2 linked regions of the Neodiprion lecontei genome follow. The protein of the gene in region 1 interacts with the protein of each later gene in a pairwise test. Links are inferred from orthologs where the notes say so. Each region holds a gene or a part of one and is shown in the gene's direction. Other genes may lie near its edges. The genes, in order: protein deltex and beta-arrestin-1.

Region 1 (6,247 bases):
GTCAGTTTTAGGCAAGGCGTCCGACAGACAACCTTTCTGCAATTAATATCCAGCTGTTAGTTAAACTGGCACTTTCAGTCTTTCAAGAGCCAAAGTCATATTTGCATTCCTTATGCTGAAAAGGAAAAAAAAATTCTTTGCTTTGTACGCACTCTGTTAAGTGGCTGCATTTCAGCCTGCAGAGCACCGAGTACAACGTGGAATAGCTCGTGAGCATCTTGGTGTCCAGGTGTGAAGATCCATAGTGGTCCAAGGGACGTTATTATTTCAATTGGTGTTACGTCTCCATATATCATTTCGTCGCAGAAGCCATTTACCTCTTAACAATAAAAATCATTTACATATTTGTTACAATTGTTTATGCAGTACTCAAAACGAGAGCAAGCTTACTATCTAGAATGGAGAGAAGGCTCCGGGCAAATTGGCCATTTTCATTGTTGACAAGCTGCGTCCGAAGCCAGCCGACAAACATTGGACACGCTGCTAGAGACTGGAGAAGCGCGTTCATGAAACAAGTGTATCCTAGATTGGTGAGTCCAATAATTTGGCCTAGAATAACGACAATGACATAAATTCCAAGAGGAATGATTATAGGTAAACAAGCTAGTTTTTTGAGTAATTAGGATAAAACGGGCAACGGTTCATTACTGTATAATATTAAAAATGACTTCATCAATTGAAAGACTTGTGAAGGAAAGGAGACAATCGTCGATCGCTACTTGTATGCTATTACCTCTTCGCCTAGGCCTAGGCGAAGGTCCCCAAAGTACAAAAGCGCCGATAACAAGGGCAAACCCGACACCGGCGACCATAGCAATTTTCTCAACATCCATTTTGCGTAGAAGTTTATAAGTTGAAGTGTAGAAACAATATTAAATATTGTTAGATATCCAGCAGAAACGGTTATAACCTATTTGTGATATATCGTGTGAGAATGAGCTGCGTTATTTCATTATTACAGCAAGTCTTCATCGCCCGATCATTTCACCGCATAGTTCATTTGCCTAAGACACGATTTGAGACGGCTACTTTGCCACTTCTCTGTTTACAAAATTTTTTCTTGTATTTTTAATCCACAGTACGGGTCCGACCCGAATTGTGCAGAGCCGTCTCCGACGAACGGTGAAGTGGTCAATGCTCAATACAAATGGGCAATGACAGCCTTGCCAACCCTTCGAATAGAAATTCAGGAATCGGAAACGCATACTTGGCTCGTTGGAAAAAAAATGTAGAGCAATGAACCCTATCCATGTTTTGTAAATTTATGAATTACGCAGAGCCGTTACACTTGATCATCTCGAATTCGTAGAAAAAAAACGACGTGAGCTCTGCATTCTGACTTTCGAATCTTACGAGATAAATGTAAAGAAAAAAGGGTCGACAGGTGTCATTTATGCCATGTTTAATGTATACATGTGCGTTGTGTACCTATGTGTGCATAACACTATGCATACAATCGTAACGTATAATGCAGGAATTTAATTCATCAGATTGTTAACCGTAATCAACTAATTCGATAAAGGGAATAGTTGACAATGACAAATGTGCACGGAAACGTTTATCATCGTATAACGTGCATTGCAATTCTCAAGTGAAAAACAGTGAGAACTATAAAATTGTAGTAAATTCTCTCCTCGGCGTTAAGCCTGGCTAGGGGAGTCGGATGCTGGGAAGGCTGGGAAGTGACAAGTGCGCTTGGAGGAAGCAGCGTCCATCCTTTTCTCTTTTAATTCTGTGCCGACTCCGGTGATTTCAAGTCGATTGTTCAGTCATCGAAGGGTAAATGAAACAGAGCGAGAAAACGGATCGCCGTTACTTAGCGAATAACCCGTCGGCTAATACGGAGTAAACTGAAACTCCAATATTTACGTTCTCGTTACGCAGACGTATACAAAAGGATCGTGGAGAGGGGCGGAGGGGAGGAGGACAGACAACACCGATACTCTCTACGGTGTGCGGGCGGAGCTGTATGAATTCGAAAAATGTTCCCACGGTCACGTCGAACCGAGTTGATCGCCACGTTCGTCCCAGTTCATCTTTCGCGGCGCTCAGCGTCCTGTGAGAGCGGCCTTGACCGTTGACCGTTCTATTTACACCATTCTCATCTTCACCCACTTCACTCGAACCTGAAGGATCGAGGAAGATGAGTGGGCACGCAGTCGTCGTGTGGGAATGGGAAAATCGACAAGCTAGATGGAGGCCGTACAGTCCGGCGGTTTCCCAGCACCTGGAGAGAGCCCATTGCAAAAAACTTACCAGGGTATTCTTGAACGACGCAGATCCGAGCCTCGACAGGTATGAGAAAATAAAATTTACACTAAAATGGCAATGGATCATTTCTATGAGCTCTGTCATTTTTTTTTACCATGCAGCTTGCTTTGTATTTTAATCGTACCCTGATATTCATATTTTATCTAAAATCGTATTTACCGTAAAAGATTAAAACTGACCCGATCTTACCCCACCATTAGATGCTACTTGGAACGATTCTCTATTGAAAATTGGAAAGTTGAATTCTTCCTTCGTTGAGTTACCAAGAGAAGATGATATAAATTATTGAATAGTCTAAATATTTCAGCTCGATTGGTTCCACGATGCTTGGGATTTAATAATAGCAAGCTTGAGAATTTCGTTCCCTGAAAAATAGCCACATATTTCTGCGTACACACTTGTATTCTTCTCAGTATTGCTTATTGGGTATTGCAAGGTCTTCTTGCTAGGACTTGATTAGTTTTCGGTGTATTTTTCCATCTGTTATGAAAAAAAACGACAGTTTCGTCTGTATCAGATACTACATCAATCTGAGGACAAAGACGCAGTGCAGTGACGATGGCACGGAAACTCATAACGTTAGGAGAAAATTTTACTTGCCTGGATCACCGGCAGGAAAAGGTGCCAAGTGGGAATGGGTCGGTGACACTGACGATTGGCACACTTACGACATGGAGGTCCAGTGCCTCATAGAGGAAGCATGGGCACGGGTGCGTTTAAAAAATTCTAAGATGTAACTTTTCTGGTTCGAATATTTATAAATCGTATAAGAGCAATATTTCTCTTAATTAATTTATTACCTTTTGATTTTTCCAGGGTGACAAAACAATTGACGTTTCCAAAACATACCTCGGCTTTCCTTACATAATAAATTTTTGCAACCTTACTCAAGTTAGATGTTGCACAGGTTATGTACGCCCGATCAGACGTATACAGCAGGCACCGTATCCTTTAGTGAAAGTTGCGCTTGAGGAATTGCCACCGACTACTGGAAGAAGAGGACTAAATGGAACTGTCAAAAATCCACATGCTAAACCAACACATAAGAAATTACCCAATGGGACTGGAAAGAAGAGTAGCAAGAAGGTAATGCAAAGTGCTCGATGATTGATTAGTAAAGTAGTTGAATCATCTCATAAAATGGGTTTGAGAAGAACCTTTGAAAGCTTACATCAATACTAGAGTCAAAACTTGATCAGAACCTATAATGATTTCAAGCATAACATTTTTTTAGGGAAAACATGGCGATACAGGACCAACAAACATCGCTCGTGTGATATTGAATAACTTGAATATTTTCGGTAATAAGCATGCGGAAAACGTGCCAGTAGAAAGCACTACAGAACCAGTTCAAAAACGCAAGACACGGGATTCCAATTTACTAGACATTGATTCAAGCAGCACCAAAAGTGGTCGGCGTCCTAGCGTTGATACAGTATCCACCTATCTCAGTCACGAAAATTATGTTGATTTATTAGACAGCAGTGTAGGGAGTGACGATGCCTTCAAGGATTCAGTTATTGGTGAGCAAGAAGCTTACTCAACATATTGCAAGAAAGAGAGTACATCCAACATTAAGGCCAATCATTCGTTTCAGGCGTTGTAGTCGAAGCTCCTGATGTCATATCTCAGTATGTAAGGGTGGTTGAAAGTGCCGGTGCTGATTCGTGTCCTGTTTGTTTGGGCTCTCCTGAGCCTCTGACAGTCGAGTTGACTCGCTGCAGACACAGGTTACACCTAGCGTGTCTAAACGCAATGATTAGTTCACAACAGCAACCAATGTACATACAGTGTCCAGTGTGCCGATTGATATATGGAGAAAAGAGAGGAAACCAACCTCCAGGGACAATGAATTGGACCAGAATACCGCGGTCTCTTCCTGGATTCCCGAACACGAACACAATTCAAATAACTTACGAGTAAGTAGGCGTAACATTCTCGCAAAACTGACTTGATTTCATTCGGTTTTCTCGATTTTACGCGTTTCTTGTTGGTTTCTAGCATTCCATCAGGAATTCAGGGTCCTGAGCACCCAAATCCTGGCCAAACATACTACGCAGTTGGCTTTCCTCGAGTTTGTTATCTCCCCGACAACGACACAGGCAGAAAAGTCCTAAGACTACTGCAAATCGCTTTCGAGAGAAGGTTGATCTTCACCGTTGGACGGTCAGTGACTACGGGCCGAGAAGATGTCGTTACCTGGAACGAAATTCATCATAAAACTGAGTTAGGTCCGTCGACCTTGGGACATGGGTATCCCGATGCTTCATACTTGGAACGAACGCTCGCGGAACTCGCGGCACAAGGAGTTTCCGATGGCCAATCAGTGACTGGTTTCTACCAAGAGCTTCATTGACTCAGGTATTTCGACGTTTTCGCTTTGCGAAAATATTCTTTAGATCAGGGTTGGGCTGAGCAGCTGTGCAGTTAAACTGACGAGAAAAGACTGACTGAACAAGAGGAAACAGTCTGCCAAACAAGAAATCAATTTTTTTTCGTGGTGAATAAATTCTGGCGAATATTAATACTATTTGGGACATGCAAGATGGTCTCAACAATGCCTTACGTATTATACAATAATTATCGTTGGCGTAATAGCTTTAATTTGCAATTCAATATTAATAGCTTTATATTATACTTACATATAAGCGTGAGAGCGTGTGCGTGTGTGCGTGTGCGTTAGCATGTGTGTGTGTGTGTATTCCGCACATTTTTTTTCAAGTTTTTTGAAATATATTTCTCAAATTTTGTGTAGTTAAATGGATCTGCAGCATTATATTCGTGCGGTTGTTTTTAGTCTGCTATAATCTCGAAATGTTAATTTACCTTGCGTTAAATTTTAAATGGAACAAAATACTATGAGGAGAATGGTGATCCGTGCTTCCAGAAAAATATTATATACTATATACATATACGTAGATTTATACTCCATCAAAATGGTATTAATGAAAATAGATATATAGATATATTTATGATAGAAATATATTAAATAAATATAACAATTAGTATAAAATATACAAATTACACTTTCTCATCAGATTGTAATTTAACTAATTTCAGATTCAACCAATAACCAACCTTTTTCGTTCTTCCTGTATGTACCTTGCGAGTGCCGTGTTTGGACACTAGCAGATATTGCACAAATTTCAACATACTGACAGATACTTCAGTCAGGTTGGCAGATAGACGGCCAGGGTCTACTTAATCACAATCAGAGAAGGGACCCAAAGCTTTGGAAAGTCTGAGAATTCTCCGAATAGTGCAAATCCCGCAGAATTCAAAGCAGATACAAAAACAAGTACATTCATGCTATATCTAATGATTTGGGATACTCAATTCTTTATGGTATACTCCAGTAGCGTTTTTTGGTATCAGTATAGCCAGATGATATATGCCAACACAGATACGCATTATCGGGAGTATTATTATGAGCTTGAATTCTGAGTTGAAATTTAAAAAATACATATTTTAATCGGCCCAAACTCGTGAAGGATATCGAAACGACTTGGACACTTTTTGGTAATCCGTGGTATAATTCAAATTTCTTGGCGCCGAGAACTGCGGCAACTCGGCAAACATACGTGGCGATGTTCGTTTGCAAGTCATGCGTATATAAATTACCAGTGAGTTAATTATTACAAAAGTCAGGGAGTGAGAAAAAAAAAAGAAATGGCAGAATGTTGACAATTGATTATGTCTCCATAACATCATTTAAAATGATCGCCCAACGGTGTGAAGTAAGGCCAACTCTATCACATTGTGATCAGGGGGACTCCAGATATGCTCAAGATGGCCGAGGATTGATTTTTCTGATTTAAACGAACCCTGTAAACGATGAAATTCTAATATGATAATATTCGGAAATTTCTCTGAATGTCTCTCAGATTAAAGCATTGAAACGTGATTGGTTTTTAGTTGGTGTGAATCATTGTGATCAATGTGACTCTGCACCTAAAATTGTCAGAAAATAATATCG
Region 2 (5,015 bases), on another chromosome or scaffold:
CATTAGTTTCGATTCTCTTGTTATTACACCGCCATTTTAAGGAGCTAATTTCTTTCTGCAGTCAAGATTTTTACAGAAACTTGAAATCATGAATGAAAAATTCCTTATTGGAAAAATATCCGATCTCGATATCACAGAGAAGTATCGCATTAATTAAGTCTCCAAGCTATATATCCACATAAGCAGCAAAGATCCATGTTCTGTAACCATATGTAACGTAGCTACAAGCAAACCAAATAGAAAAGCTGTACCCTGCTAGGATATTTCTTTATTTACTCGAAAACATCCCAATGTGCAGGCTCTTATTCGTAAAAGAGATATTCACTAGATAATTGCCGTGGAGAGGAATATTCAGAACAAAACTAGACTTCGTAGTCATTTCCAGAATCATTAATTTCTACAAGTAAGGAATCCCCCGATAGGATGCTTTCGATCAATTATCCTGACTAAACTTTGATAAGTGATCCAATTTCAATCTATTAATAGCTAGCAGGATTTCGAACGAAGTTTAGCAACATCCATTTGAAACACTCGCCTTTGGAATTGTATCCAATTAATCAATTTAGAGTGCAGAATTATGGAGTATGTCTACAACTGTGCCAAATGGACGTCCGAAATAGAGACAGTTTACATTTACATAACTTCAATTGTGAATGAAATTTAGAAGTCTGGTCAAAGGTCCATTATTTTTTTATTGATCATTCTTGTTACAAATTGTGAAACGATACATCGACATAGTTTGACAATCTGTAACAAGAATAATTTGACTGAAGAAATATTCTTCAGTACCATGATGATATAACTGATATGTTCTTCAGTCAACCTAGTTATGTCGTCCGCGTATATTTCATATTTTTTATTTTCTCATGTAAATTTGGTAGTAAGTACGATTAAAACTTCAGCACAATATTTGAAATAGAGAATCCCTCGAATACTATTTCCTTTTAAAGCAATTTCCACGGTTTCCCACAAAATATATTTTCGATGATTATTTGAATTACCCGCGGTAATGGATAAATTGACTACACGCAACAAAGAAAATAACACGGTATCCAGTTAGTATAGGAAGAGATGTTGGTATCACTGATCTCTACTATACACTGGTATAGCTCTGTCTCTCTCCCATTTCCGGACACGTCAGCGCCGTATGCGTGATCCACGCTCTATGTCCATGGTGTATGTAAAAACTGCATGTAGTATAACTGCACCAGAAACCTAAGATAACGACTGTGTACTAGTGCACAAATGCACACATAAGGCAAACAGTATCTCCACTGAGAAAATCCTTATTTAGTGACATTATATTATACACAAGGGGTAAATAATAAATTAACGATGAACAAAGAATTCATGCGCTGAATATCGATTCTCATAACTTTTATAGACAAAGAAGTGTACAGTAAAAATAATTTACAGATCAAATAACAGTTATTGACATCAAATTAGAGCTTTCGTAAAGTAAGTAGACGTATGTTTTCTTTCGTCCGTGACCATCGGCGGCTCGTGCAAGCGGTTACAAAGAACGGGTCAGCGCGCGTAGCGAGTCAGCCAGGGCGCATGTATCACGTTACGAGTTACGCATACCAGACGCACACAAGGCGATGCACAAGGCATCAGCATCGGCCAGCACGCAACTGGCGTCGCGGCAAATACGTTGCGAACGAAGTTAGTCACTTGACGGCGGGGGGAGCGGCCGGAGGGCGGAGGGAGGGGGTTGCGGTCGATATTCGACTTGAGCGGTGGCTCGAGCGGGACTTGGGAGGGAGAGGTTAGGTCAGTCGACACTTTGACAGTAATAAACCGACGCGAGAGAACATATCCGCCGTGCTCCGAGACGCTGTCTTGCTCGTTCCGATATATCAGAGAGAAAAATAAGATCTCGCACAGCTTCAAAGTCATATTAATCTGCGGCGGTTGTCGCGAAGCGAGTCTTTTTTTTTTTTCACGACAAGGTTATGTAAAATCTATCCTGTGGCGCCAGCATCTACGGCGCGGACGTGACGTATCGAGGAATCGAGATCACTTGTTCACAGTAATCAGAGTCGGGATGTGTATCTTCGCTGGTTGATATCGTACCTTCCGTACTCTACGTACGTTTTGTGTTTGAAACATACAAACGCGTAGTTTTGTAACCGTTCGACGTATCGATTAGTTGTATTTTTTTTTTTTTTTTTACAATAAACCCGATGCCGGTGCAGTGTGAGTTCATCGAGTGTTGAAACTGTGGTGCCGTTCGCCTATGAATTTTCATTGCCGATCGCAAAAGGGTGTGGAACTACGGGGTCTCTAGGACAAGTTAGGTGAGTCCTCTCCCTCGCTCTATTTTTGTTTCACTACGTTTATCGTTTAGGTACATAGATACTTTTTTTTTTTTATACCTTTTTACAAATTTATTTTATACACGATTTTCATCGAGGTCTATCTACGCCTGCATGCTGTTCTTGGTAACAACTGAGTGACGGGCAAACAACGTTTGACGTATGAATACTATGAATGTATGTACGTCGCCGCGTTTCGTTGTGATTTTTTACTCGTTTCTTTCAGTTTCCTCGTCCCCATGATCCCTCGACCGACGACGTCAGACGCCAGAAATGCGCTGTCAGAATTCTCGGAATTTTTTTCAACTTTGTGATTATCGCCCGCGAATAGTACTCGTCCTACCCTACGTTACTCAATACGGCCTCTTAGGACGGTCGAGGGTTATTAAACAAATACTATACATATGCTCTAGGAGGCGTGGCGGGACCGAATAATTAATTTCGAAATTTATATCCAATTGCGCGCGAGATTTTAATTAACACTTTCAAGGAGGTGTCGTTTCGCATCAACAAATAAATCTGTCGAAGCTTCGGAATTCCAAGAATCGGAATGACGTAGGTTTCCTTTTATCACAACCACCAGTTTAGTTTGAGGAAAAGGCTGATTAGATCGCACCTGATGACAAATAGTAATGTCTTTTTTTCCAACGCTGCCGGAAACAAAGTGAAACACTTAAATCTTGCTGACAGTGAGGATCTTAACTTTATTATTATTGTTATTATTATTGTTGTTGTTGTTGTCGTTGTTATTATTATTGATACCGATATTATTACTATTATAATGCATCGCGGTTATGTTTAACAAAAACAGTCATCGCACAACCTACGTGAGTAATGAACTTTACCGCTGATAAGAAAATGAAAACGTCGACAGAAATATAAAGAAACAAGAGGGAAAAGTGAAGAGGTAGAAAAATTCTTCTATTGTATGAGAAATTAGTCGAAGGAATCAAAAGTGGTGTAAAAAAAGGTATACAAAGACTTGACCTACCCCAACCTGTTAGATGCATAACGTGGGAACTTCCCACGAAATCCATAGAGCTGCTACTACTTACTCGAAATGCACGAAGCGAGTGTTAGAATGCTTCACGTAACATCCTCATTCATCCGTTAAGAAAGTGTAGGATGTGTTTGAGATCGGTTATAACTGAATTCACATAGCCGAAATACTTCGTACCGTGGGAAAATTCGGAGCCTACGGTACTGTGCGAACATTTTCTTAACGTTTACATGTTTCTTCGGAAACCTCATTAGGCGTTACTTAATGTGGTTGGTTGCCCATAATTCGAAATATTTTTATTAAGTTTACTCCGAGATAATCGCACATTTACTGTTTGTCAAATTATCATATTTGCAAGCTACGAAGATTTCATGAAAAATATAAAAATATAAAATGTTGGAAACATTAACAACAGCGTGGATATCAATGCTTCGTTTCAAATCGCTTCGAAATGGCTAAGAATATAATAGATCTATATTCGATTTCACTCTACGATGGTTCGTTATATTTAGAAGACTTTCGCTTTTCACAAATTACAATACAATACGATATTTTAGCGATATTGATTATGATCAAAAAATGGCAATATCGAGTTGAGTAGTGTAAAAATGATCTGTTTTATTGCCTTTGTAGAAAATATAGTCTTTTGAATGAAATGAGCCCGTCGTAGAATGAAGTCTATTGAATAGTTGAAAGCATCTCATAGCAACAACTCGTACATAATTCGTACAACTCTCACGGCGTGGCAAAATTCCTTGGCGCCGGTTAAAGCTGACTTAACCGATATTGTGAGTCAACTGAGCATAATTGGGAATGCACGCATCAAATTCTTCCTTAACTTGAAAGAGGTGGAAGTTCGTAGCGTTTCACTACAATGCGAATTCAGAATTAGTTGGAAGTAGTTGATATTAAAAAATATGACCGTGATTTGCTTTATTGCGGTTTGAAATTGGTGAATTTCAAACAATCCTAAAATTTCTAAATAAACGTTTCTTTCGACAACGAACCTTATTAATTTGAATTGCTCAATTCCTCATCATCATGACAGGTTATAGGTATTGTCGTCTCTTTATACCTGTGTACACACAAATGTAGATTTACGAAACAAATCGTGGGCTGTAGACTTTTGTCATCATTCAATATACAGTAGCAGCATAATGGACAGCGGAAATTCATAAAGTAATGATAATAGTTCGTATTTTGGATACCGTATCAAATGCGAGTATGATTATCGTAACAAGTATGTAGACACGTAAGTTATGGGAAATTCCATATCTCGAATAACCGTAGACTACTTTCCCTTCGATTGCTTTTCTGTGTCGTATTGTTATCGAAAATCTCTAACGGAACAGCAGAACATTCTCAAATCTTTTTCCGGAATCAGCCTGAATTTTCTAATGTTGAGATATGACGATTCATTATTCTAAAAAATTGTTATTACGGATTTTCCGAAATTCAGTAAACCGTAATAAGCACACACAACATACTCGCATATTTGGCAAACTCAACTTCTTCAATTATTCATTCTAAAGTTGCGAAATATTAATTTTTTCTCGAAACTTTCAACTTCAACCTTATCCTCCCGATCCAACGGATTGTTACTAGTCACTATCTTTGGCAAACTGATTACAAAACAAATTGTTTTTTAAATCACACCCGTCAGTAAATTGAAAAAATGTCTTGCCGTATAATATTTC

The links.
Region 2: the proteins of protein deltex (region 1) and beta-arrestin-1 interact in a two-hybrid assay, tested with the Drosophila melanogaster proteins (2 studies listed by BioGRID). The link is inferred for Neodiprion lecontei from reciprocal best matches to the Drosophila melanogaster genes dx and krz.

The regions. Positions count from the first base shown.
Region 1 is NC_060264.1:2,161,985-2,168,231, reverse strand, and holds protein deltex, read left to right. Parts: upstream 1-1,839; 5' UTR 1,840-2,143; coding exon 2,144-2,295; intron 2,296-2,773; coding exon 2,774-2,981; intron 2,982-3,087; coding exon 3,088-3,357; intron 3,358-3,505; coding exon 3,506-3,794; intron 3,795-3,868; coding exon 3,869-4,190; intron 4,191-4,272; coding exon 4,273-4,627; 3' UTR 4,628-4,632; exon of another isoform or gene 4,633-5,254; intron 5,255-5,331; 3' UTR 5,332-5,569; downstream 5,570-6,247. Other genes in the region: ubiquitin carboxyl-terminal hydrolase 30 homolog, read right to left, coding at 1-36, 153-319, 391-549, 734-833.
Region 2 is NC_060263.1:23,041,211-23,046,225, reverse strand, and holds the start of beta-arrestin-1, read left to right. Parts: upstream 1-1,739; 5' UTR 1,740-2,300; intron 2,301-5,015.